3 linked regions of the Daphnia pulex genome follow. The protein of the gene in region 2 interacts with the protein of the main gene of each other region in a biochemical or structural test. Links are inferred from orthologs where the notes say so. Each region holds a gene or a part of one and is shown on either strand. Other genes may lie near its edges. The genes, in order: ubiquitin carboxyl-terminal hydrolase 48-like, polyubiquitin and epidermal growth factor receptor substrate 15-like 1.

Evidence for each region.
Region 1: the proteins of polyubiquitin (region 2) and ubiquitin carboxyl-terminal hydrolase 48-like form a complex in vitro, tested with the Homo sapiens proteins (3 studies listed by BioGRID, with this or other methods). The link is inferred for Daphnia pulex from reciprocal best matches to the Homo sapiens genes UBC and USP48.
Region 3: the proteins of polyubiquitin (region 2) and epidermal growth factor receptor substrate 15-like 1 form a complex in vitro, tested with the Homo sapiens proteins (2 studies listed by BioGRID). The link is inferred for Daphnia pulex from reciprocal best matches to the Homo sapiens genes UBC and EPS15L1.

Annotation. Positions count from the first base shown.
Region 1 is NC_060018.1:12,831,315-12,835,043, forward strand, and holds the end of ubiquitin carboxyl-terminal hydrolase 48-like, read right to left. Parts: intron 3,624-3,729; coding exon 3,442-3,623; intron 3,102-3,441; coding exon 2,904-3,101; intron 2,799-2,903; coding exon 2,673-2,798; intron 910-2,672; coding exon 834-909; intron 763-833; coding exon 740-762; 3' UTR 72-739; downstream 1-71.
Region 2 is NC_060024.1:13,920,105-13,923,704, forward strand, and holds the start of polyubiquitin, read left to right. Parts: upstream 1-1,266; 5' UTR 1,267-1,574; intron 1,575-1,998; 5' UTR 1,999-2,004; coding exon 2,005-2,335; intron 2,336-2,516; coding exon 2,517-2,744; intron 2,745-2,907; coding exon 2,908-3,135; intron 3,136-3,289; coding exon 3,290-3,517; intron 3,518-3,600.
Region 3 is NC_060021.1:11,549,269-11,553,097, reverse strand, and holds part of epidermal growth factor receptor substrate 15-like 1, read left to right. Parts: intron 1-43; coding exon 44-248; intron 249-317; coding exon 318-520; intron 521-595; coding exon 596-787; intron 788-868; coding exon 869-940; intron 941-1,013; coding exon 1,014-1,325; intron 1,326-1,704; coding exon of another isoform or gene 1,705-1,731; exon of another isoform or gene 1,732-1,784; coding exon of another isoform or gene 1,785-1,790; exon of another isoform or gene 1,791-1,998; coding exon 1,999-2,718; 3' UTR 2,719-3,829.

The sequences.
Region 1 (3,729 bases), on a different chromosome or scaffold from region 2:
TAACAAGAAAAAAATGTAAACTTCCGAGAAAGATTACAATCGACACAATTAGGCAAATTTTCAGACAGTAATTACATTCGAATTTCTTTGTGTATTACTATTACTGTAGTAGAATGTTGTGTGTTCAAGTTTGTATGTAATTTTTTTTTGTTTTGTTTGTGTTCTACCAGGATCTCCACACACACACACCCCATTTTTTGTTGTTGTTTGTTAATTTCTGAGATCCAATTAGATAAGAAAAAAAAGTTGTTGGTAGAGTGTGAAGAATACGCGCCATAACGAAAGAAAAAAATAGAAGAGGTGACGTAATAAAATATAAATAAATCAGTTGACATTTATACGGAGGACAAAAAGGGAAGATTTATCATTAGGAACAAATTGGGACAGCGGGGCGATCAAAATGTACGGGGGGTGTAGCTGATATAACCTGTCTCTCTTTCTTTAAATTTTGCAAGTTTTATTTCTTTGAGCACAGAGTTACAATCAAACGAAACAAATTAAATTTTACCCAGTAAGTTATTAATTTGAATTTTTTTACTTTTTTGTTCTTTTGCAAAAAAAAAAGTTGACGCGCCAGTTTAATAATAACAATTTAACAAACAAGAGTAGAGAGTAGAAAGAAAATATGCTGACGTCCGTTATGAGAGAGAGAGACAAACGTCGCAGCAGCTGAAATTTTTGTGTGTGTGTTTGTTTATTTATTTTTTTAGGCACTTGACGGTTGGACGCCGGATGCGATTCAGCTACGGAGGAGTTCGGTTCCTGCGAGCGCGTGGAAACGAATATCGTCAACACAAATAATCGATGCGAAAGACAAATGAATGGTGAATTACCTTTGAATCCTTCTTCGGGAATGGCAGTCCGTGCATAGTCTTCCATAAGGGACGGATCTTCCGACGGCTCATCCGCCTGAAACCCCCAAAAAAGAAATGAGATCAAACAAAGCGAAACGTGATGGAATCAAGAACATTGTGTGTCATTTGATTGAGAGCCAACTAATCTAAAAAAAAAGCAAAAATAAATAAAAAAAGGACAAGAAAAAAATAACTGGCCGGTACACTCCATCCGTCTCTGCCTGTCGGGCTCTATATAAGGAAGTCGTAGCCCATGTTACACATGTTACCGACGACAATCAATCGTGCCGAAATGAGAAGAAGAAAAAAAAACGAATCAGAAATAAATGTACATGGAAACGATAAAGAAAGAAAAAAACGAAAATGAAAGTCTGGCGCTTGCCCGCCGACTAACCAGACGTGGAACGCATGGACGATGACCGCAACTACACCGCGCACCACAAAACAAACTCACTCTTTCTTTTTTGACTATACAAGGAGCCGCTCTCTGGCAATGTAAGGCCAGCTCAATCCAATTCCTCGTTATTAATGAGACATTAGAGACGCCACACACGCTACAACAAACGCACCGAGGAATCAAAACGAGCAAAATTGAAAAATCATAAAAATTTTCTTTCCGTCAAATAAACAAAGTTAGTAGTGGTAGTAATCGGGACCATTCTGAATTGTCCGTGTCGTGAAGAACGTCAACTCTCTCGGGTTGAAGCTTCAAGGACACGTAGGGACACAAACGAGCGTCAACAAAGAAAGTTTTTGGGGAGAAAAGCCCCGAGAAATTCAATTAGAATTGAATTACGTGTGTGCTACTACTGCTATAAGCTACTACTACTACTATGGGGGGGTCGAGTTCAATGATCCTATCTCCTTCTCCCGCTTCTCCCGCTGCGTCAACGATTTCGAATGACGCGCTTAACGAATCCCGCCACCAAGTCTCTTTTTTTTTCCAGATCCCGTCTATGTCTTGCGTGCGGGAGCGGCTGAATTCTTGAGCCATTTCAAGTCAAAAAAGAAAGAAGGAGAGATAGCCGAGTCGACGCCCATCATCGGCGGGGGTTGCCGCCTTGTGTGTGTGTGTCGCCTTCTCATTTTCTGGCCGACGTGACCTACTATCTCCGCATCCATCCATCATGTCGCGAGTCGAATCAACCGTTTCCCTCTTCTCGTCGGACGTTCTTTCCGTTTCCCCGGCTCGAATTAGCGTACACACTAAATCCAAACGGCTAAAAAGGGCCTCGTTTTCTCCCCTGACTTGTGTGTGCTACTACTCACTACTACTACACGGTCGTGTTGATTTCAATTTCTTCTTTCCTCTCTCGGCCGCGATTATTTTCCATCCACTTCTTTTGTGTGTGTTTGTCTCCGGTCGAAAAGAAAAGAAAAAAAAACCCAACAAACAAACAAACAAACAAACGTCAACCAGCGGGAAACTTTTTTGTTTCTTTTCTTTTTGTGTTGCGTTACACCCCTATCATGTCCTCGTGTTCCCGACTCCTTCCAACTCGGTGTAACGCTCTTTTTTTTCGATTCTTTTTCACGGGAGAAATACAGAATGTGTATTGTTATTTTTGTTTTTCTGTTTTTTCTTTCCTCCTTCTTTCTTTTCCTTCCCTAAAGAACGTGTTTTTGTCGAACGTGCTAGACAACCACTTGTGCCCGACTTGACTCTGGACCTTACCAATTGTGCTCAACTGGTTGAGTCACACACAATTCACGAAAAAAAAGAAAAGAAATAAAAGGAGGAAAAAGGCACACAGACAGTCGATCCATCTCGATCAAATCAAAGGAAAAGAAGAAACGGCTGGAGCTTGTTTGACTTACCTGAAGGATGATGACGGTGCCGGGGAAGATGCGCAAAGAGGCCAGCGTCGCTTGGTTGTCGTTCAAATCACGTCCTTCGCACGTCAAATGCTGGTCGAACGGCGCCACTTGAAACTTTTTCATAATCTGAAAGAAGAAGAAGAAGAAGAAGAAGAAATGAGTCAGCCCGAGAGAGGAGAGTGTCACGAAAATAAACGCGGACGGATGACACACACACACACAGAGACGTACGTCACGCTTGAGATCGAGTAGGGTCTGATCGGACGAGACGGTGATCTCCTTCTCTCCGCGGCCTCGTCTTTGGCGGGAGCTCCTCCTGGCCTGCTGCTGCTGGCCCACCGTGGCCGGTGACAGGGCCGGCACTGGGCAAGAAACGGCCAAGGCCTGGGCCGTGCTGTCTAGTCGTGGTCTCTTCGTCTCCGATCCCATCTGCAACGTGAACCAGAAAAAGTGGATAAGATGAGGTCCCAAACAGAAACATTAAGGACGAATTCCTCTGAGACATTCCACGGCGACTGATTTACATTCCATTCGGCAGGATTAGGACAAGATTACGACGACCTCCAAGAGCGCCGGCCAGTCCATTACCTCCATTCTCTTCCTGCCGAATGTTTCCCATCCAGGCGGCCCATCATCCCGCTAGATCCCCACCCCCTCCAGACAATTCATGATTGAAAAGGGGTGCGGAAATAGGGTAAACGATGACATTCCTCCGACTAGGAAATGGATGGACCGAGTGTTACGCAAGAGTGGGAGAAAACGGGGTTACCTGGAAGTCGGGATCTTCGGCGACGGAAGACGAAAAGGTCGAGGCCGATGGCGCGTCGGTGAGGTTGTCAGTTAGGGCTCCGATTTTGTCAACTTGGCGGACGTAGATGGCTGCCCGGCTGTAGACCAGCTGCGACCGGCGCTCCTCCTCCAACCGCTTCTCCAGGCAGCTCTCGCACACGGCTGCAACAAATGTCATATAAATCATTCGTGGTGAGTCCGAAATAGAATCGTTACACATTTCCAGCGCTTGGGACATCTCGCCGCTTCGACTTTTTGGGCTGTTGCT
Region 2 (3,600 bases):
GTCCAGAAACTGGAACAGAAAATGAAACGAATGCAGAGAGATTTGCACTACGACCTGATTGCCTTCACGCAAACTCAAATTTTGTACACCATTAAACGACTTTTAGCAGCTGATTTGAAGGTTATTTACCGGGGCCATGCTCTAGAATCTGAAACTCCAAATGAAGAAATGCCAAATGAGATTAACCCGTTCTGGCCAGAATTCCAAGCAGTCGCCCATCCAAGGAAAGGTGGGCTGCAAATGGCCGACTTTCTTGTTTACGGATGGTATGAAATTTTATCATTGTAAATAACAACTCAAAAATTATTATAAGAAAATTTCCGATTTTCTAGTTTGGAAGAACCCGATTTCACCCAAGATTATCTCAGCACACCATGGGCTTGTCCTATATGCGAACTCAATTTCTACCTGACGGGTCTAGGGCGATTGAGGCACCAGGTCCAGTGCCAGAAGACAAAAGAGTTGATGGAAGGAGGTATGAAATGTTTTTTAACAATCTGTTTGCTGCCCTCTATCCAGTTTACAATTTTCCGTTTTGTTGGGTTATTATTTAGGTCAGGGTGAACCAGCAGAAGCTTCCGAGTCGAAAACGGGTTATTTCTGTCCTGATTGTCGCACCACTGTGGAGCTGACCGGCATTGATTTACTGCGTCATCAAAGGAAGCACCAACAGGAAAAGTCCAACAAACCTGAGGCAGATTAGTCCTATACACGCAGAAAGAAGCCTTGCCCAAAGTCCTTCAAATTAAACACGTGGGACACGTCGACACCAGCACTCATTTCCGCTGCGCATTTTTGCGAACATCATCACATTATAATCCCCTTAAACTCAAGGTTGAATAAAGACCTATGTAAAACGACGCTGAATTGGAATTTATTTGCAATGAATTATAGTTTTATTCAGAGTCATGGAAGCGTAAATACATAACGGTTTTTATCTTGTTCGGTCTAATTAAGAAATTTCTCCTTATTAGTTGTTTTTTTCTTCGTCACTTTCTATTTGTATACAAGTTTTGCCAGCAACCTCATACGTGTTTCTACTTTCAAAATTCTGCCACGTGTAAATATTATCTCGTAAAGGTTCGCAACCTACTTGAAATGAAAATATTGGACCCAAAAAGTTTGGTGGAAAAGAAATAGAAAGTATGAGAAATAAAGGAATAAAGGATATCCGCGATTATTTCAAGGCTGAGGCAAATCCGTACAAAATTAACGTCACTTAGATAAAAATGTGGAAACTTCCAGAATTAGCTCAAATTTCATAATCACGGAATATTCTACGTCACATATTGTTTCTCTGTCGTTGTAGTCACGTTTGAGAAGGTGACGTTTCATCGTTACGTTATCTAACGACAAACGAAAATACGAAATAATCCTTCTAGAAAAAGCTAGGGAAAGCCGCAGGGGACTTGGTACGAACCTCCCCAGGCGCTTCTGTCGCGTCTATATAAGTCGACGTCAGCCATTTTAAAAATCAATTCGCGTCCAGCACCCAACTCGAGCAGAACGTCTTAGCAGTTGCTTCGTCGAACACATATTTTAATTCAACTTTATCATCTGATTGATCAAATTTAGTAAGTTAAACCTTTGATTTCTTTGTCCTGAATAGATATCCATTGTTCTTGTGTGTAACTAGTTAAATTAACTAAGATTTTTTGGGGGAAACGAAAAATTTACGCCGTGGCAAGTTGTCCCTTTGTTCGATTGTGTCCGCCATTTTCTTTCCTCGTTTCATCTCTTTTCTCTTAGTAACAACTGGTTGGAAAATATTTCATGGTGTAAGATGAGACAGTTATTGAAATTTACTAGAAACATTTTGTATTACATTAGTTTTGATTGCAACTTCTTTAAAAATAATTGGCTAGTAATAAAATTTATGCATGGGCGTAACTTTCCTTTGTTCGACGTGACGTAATGATGACGATTGGTTATGATGAAACTTCTGATAAACTGGTTTTGTATATGATACTAAAGTAAGTTTAATTTTCGTTTCTTCAGAAAAAGATGCAGATCTTTGTCAAGACATTGACTGGCAAGACCATCACCCTTGAGGTTGAGCCTTCTGATACTATCGAGAATGTTAAGGCCAAGATTCAAGATAAGGAGGGCATTCCACCAGATCAGCAGCGTTTGATCTTTGCTGGCAAGCAGCTGGAAGATGGTCGTACCCTGTCTGATTATAACATCCAGAAGGAATCTACCCTGCACTTGGTCCTCCGTCTGAGAGGAGGAATGCAAATCTTTGTCAAAACACTAACTGGAAAGACCATTACTCTGGAAGTTGAACCTTCTGATACCATCGAGAATGTCAAAGCAAAGATCCAGGATAAAGAAGGTAACTATCAAACCTTTGCCTACTGTTACTAAATTAACCTGATGAGTATTAGGATTACAATGACATTTAGAGTGTCTAAATTTCTTCATGATTACAATTATATCGCAATAACCTGAAGTATTCAATACATTTTAATTTCCATAGTTGTCTGATTGAAATTACAAAATGTTTCTTTGTTCAGGCATCCCACCCGATCAGCAACGTCTCATCTTCGCCGGCAAACAATTGGAGGATGGTCGTACTCTGTCCGACTACAACATTCAGAAGGAGTCAACATTACATTTGGTGTTACGTTTACGCGGAGGCATGCAGATTTTCGTTAAAACTCTTACTGGAAAGACCATCACTCTCGAAGTTGAACCTTCTGACACTATCGAGAACGTTAAAGCCAAGATTCAAGACAAAGAAGGTAATGGAAAAAAATAAGAAGAGAAATTTATTGTAGTTGCTGATGACACTCTTAGGACACCTAAATATGGACCCTGATTACTAAATAATCTGAAATTTAAATGTTAAATGATTTTGGTAGCATTAATCTACTAGATAATATTAACGATTTGAATTGTCTACAGGTATTCCCCCCGATCAGCAACGTCTAATTTTCGCTGGAAAGCAGCTCGAAGATGGCCGTACTTTGTCTGATTACAACATCCAAAAGGAGTCGACTCTTCACTTGGTTCTTCGTCTCCGTGGTGGTATGCAGATTTTCGTCAAGACTTTGACTGGCAAGACCATCACTCTTGAAGTTGAGCCTTCTGACACAATTGAAAATGTCAAGGCTAAAATTCAAGACAAAGAAGGTACGTTAGTTTTTGAAAGTTCGGTTGTTCTGCAATGATGATAATTTTATATACGCTAATATCAACAACATGATTACAATTAAATCTGATGTGGTATCGTGGTAAATGGCAGAATGTTTAGGTAGAAATTTCAATGTTATTGCTTTTTCTGTAGGTATTCCCCCAGACCAGCAACGTCTGATCTTCGCTGGTAAGCAGTTGGAAGATGGACGTACCTTGTCAGATTACAACATCCAGAAGGAGTCTACCCTTCACTTGGTCTTGCGTTTGAGAGGAGGTATGCAGATTTTCGTGAAGACTCTTACAGGAAAGACCATCACCCTTGAAGTGGAGCCATCGGATACAATTGAGAACGTTAAGGCCAAAATTCAAGACAAAGAAGGTAATAATTTGGGGCAGTCTTTATTTTTTATTCCATCGATTATGATGACACTTTATTAGCTCTTTAATATGTACCCTGATTAC
Region 3 (3,829 bases), on a different chromosome or scaffold from region 2:
CGAATTTCACTCATGACTAAGTAACTATTGACCTGCCTTTTAGGTTCGTACATTCCGGACCCAAGCAGAGGAGCAAGAGAACACGCTTCGAACACAGGAGGCAGAAGTTGCGGCTAAGAAACAGGAACTTAATAATTTACGCAGTGAAGAACTGCGCATGGAGCAACAGATGCAAGCGGCCAGCCTCCAACTCGACAAGCTCCAGAATACACTGCAAGATACTCACTTGCAAATTAGTCAAATTAAAGGTTTACTTGGCGGAAATCTTTTAATACTTTGTCCAGTAAAGTATAAAATTTTTGGTTTTGGTTTTTCAGCTCGCATGACGGTGTTGCAGGAACATCAACATCAGATTGACGAGGCCTTGGTGGCCTATGACGAAGCCTTAGAAACGGGAGATCCCTCTCGATTGGGCGATAACGTTCTTCGCCCTATTGCCTCAGTAGCTTCCGATTCCGATATCTTACTCTCGCCAAACTCTGACCGCAACAAAGTGAACGGGGGAACGTCGCATTTTAACGTAATTGAACTTTGGTTCAGTTTTGTCCAGTAAAGATCATAATATCTTTTTTTTTTTTATTCGAAATTTTTATAGGATGGAGCGTTCGGTAGTGATCCATTTTCTAGTCTGAATGGTCAGAATCGTGGGTTTTCTGACTCATCTAATGGGGACCCTTTCAAGGAATCGGACTTTTTCAAAAAGGCGGCGCAGCCAACTTCGTCTGTTGATCCTTTTGGCGCCAAAGACCCATTCGCCTCAGCCTTTGGAGCTCCTGCAAAACCAACGGTACGTGTTTCTATGAATCGTTAGAAAGTATTTGAATCCTGACTAGTTTGTAAAACGCGTAATGCATTTTGAATTTTTCAGAATGATCCATTCGCTTCCGCGTTTGGTCAAGCAAAAAGCGAACCATTTGACGCCTTCGGTCGTAGCAAATCGGTGAGTAATTAGAATCAGACTAATTGCGGCGGAACTCGAGCGCTAATTGATTATCAATTTTTGGTCATTGCAGCCAAACGTGGGTGCTGATCCGTTCGGTAGCGACCCATTTAACGCACCTAATTCTCCCTTACCTGCCGGTCGAGTGGAAAGCCCGACTCCGGCCTTGCCTCCCAAGAAGTCGAAACAACCACCTCCACGTCCAGCTCCACCGAAAGCTGTTTCTAGTGGTGTGAAAGGTCCCCAGCGCCCGGCTCCTCCCATCGGCGCCACAAAATCACCTGATCCTTTTGCACCATTGAGCGATCCGTTTACTTCGGCTGGTGCGTCTAAGGATCCTTTTGGTGGATCGGGTTTTGCTGATTTTGCAAGTTTTGAATCTAAGGTACGTCTCCGATTGATTTGATGTTTTTTTTTTTGTTTCGCAATTTTCTATGTGTAGTTTATTTTATTGGTAATCCAGAGAGCATGATTAACTTGTACTACGGTTGATTTTTCTTCGTTTCAACTGTGATTCATTTATACCATTCCTTCTTTATATATAAAGCTAAACTCCATTATTTTTATTTTACGTGACATGTGTACGTGTTTTCTCTTGTTCTAGAACAATCTTTTTTTAGTTAGGCGATTGGCAGCCTGCTGGGTCGTGATTTATTTTATTTCGTCTTCGTTTAGATTTGACTCGGTTCATTTGGGTTCTCGTTTCCGTTTCCCGTGTTCGATAAACATGTAAAAAAAAATCACAATTTGGAATTTGATTTCAGAATGATTCCAGTCCATCGGATCCGTAAAGTCAACTAAACTTTCTTGCCTTCTTCTTTCTTTTTCTGTTTTTTTTACGCAGCCATGAGTCAACTCTAAGGCATTTTCCACTGGTCTGAAATCTGACCTTTCGAGCGTTTAGAATTAATATTTTTACTGTCTTCTATACATCTACCTGATATTATTTTAGTTTAGTTTTGTATTTCGAAATTTTTCTGTTGTAATTTATTTTAAGTTTTTTTTTTCTGTTTTCCCTGCTTCCCTTCCCTGCTTTGGTTTGTGTTTAATTGCCTTAGTTTTCTGGCTCTTCAACTGGCGAGAGCTTTGATGCATGGGGAAGCACCAGCACTAGCAGCACAAAACCCACCAGCGAGTCACAACAGCACCGGTATGCCGAGCTAGAATTCACTGAAGATCCCTTCAAAGATGTCGGATTTGGCGATCCGTTTGCCTCAAACACAGACGATCCCTTCGCCGTTCCCACCATCACCAATAACGGAATAAAGATCAAGAAGGATCCGGACAGTTTTGATCCGTTTTCCGCAGACAAGGATCCGTTTGCCTCTTCCACATCTCCTTCTAAATCCACGATAGAATTCGACAGTCCGTTCGGTAGTTCGGCATGGAACGGGCGGCCAGATCCGTTCGCTGCTGCCACAGCTGCTGACAACAATAACAAGTCTCCCTCTAGTTGGGGCAACGATTTCAAGTTTTCCTCTCCCACCTCTAGTGGTCCCACTAAAAGTCCAACATCGATTGGCTCGAGCTCGTTAAAGAGCCGATCGTCTTCCTCATCGTCACCGATGAAAAGTAGCAAAGTGTCTGCATCTGAACCATTGCCCAAGTTGAGCGAAGACGCCCAAATCGCTTGGGTGGCTGCTGAGAGTGTCCGATCGGAGCAGGAAAGGCGAAGGAAAGCGGAGATGCAGGAAATAGCCGATCTGGAAATGGCGATCGCTCTCAGCAAATCTGAAATGAACAGTCGGTCACCACCGTCTTCAGACAGATTAATTTGACCCGTTTGAAAGCTGGCCACATCTCTTTCTTCTTCCTTTCTATTCCACCACACCCTGTTTTTCCTTCTTTATATGTAATCTACGTGACCTTCACAGTTTTTTCACGCTCCTGTTTACGGTACTTCCCTTGTTTTCAAAGGCTAAATATTCAAATGAGCTTTCCTTTGGCCTCTGATGTAACAAAATTCAAAAATTACCAAAAGAATCCAGCAATACTTTGACCGCAAAAGGTAATGCATTGACCTATGTACGAGAGTGAATGGTTAGCCGAAAAAATTTATTTCCTTTGGTGTTCAATCTCCTTTATTCCATCACCCCCTTATTGGTCATATCCCCAAACTATTTATAACGGCAACTGGAGGGCAAGACTGCTGTGTACATTTTACTCGCACTTTTGTATCCTTGCATGTTGCCTTTCTTAGACTTACTTCCCACAATAGTAATAAGGAAAAAAAAAGTGTCGCTCCAATCGCTGACGAATGGGAGAAAGGCGAGAAAGTAGTAGTCGGTGTGCAAAGTGTTGGTAGTTGTGACAACAGGAGTGTGCCATAGTTCGCCCGTCAGTCCCTCGGAAAAAAATTTTTCTTCTTTTGTTCTTACATCTTATCTCTTAATAGTACAATATGGTCCCATCCACCATCACCAAACAGATCTGTCTGAAGAATGAAGAAATAAAAAAGTGTTATTTCGATGCCGTAGTTGTTTTGCTCTTGGAACGTTATTTTTGCCGTAGCCTGATCTTTTTCTTTATTTCAACCTCTCCACTGCTACCCATTTCTCCCCGTTTTCTTTTTTTTTTCTTTTCTGTAATTTGATTGTTTCGGTATGATGCCCAGTGGCCACACGAGAGTTACTTTTTCCCACAAGTCAATTTTTTAAAAATGAAAGTAGCTCTAAGAGATGTACCAGTATGTTTGTTAGTTATCTCTTTTTCTTCTTTTTTTTTTTGTGAATGTCCTTGCGTGAACACGATTGTTAATTTGCCTCAAGAGTCCGTGTTTTCTCTCTCTCCCCCCCCCCATCCAAAAAAACCAAAATGTCTCTCTATCTGTCTCTTTTCTCTCCTCGATGTAGTAACATTATCAACTTTCATCATGTACTTGTGTACCTC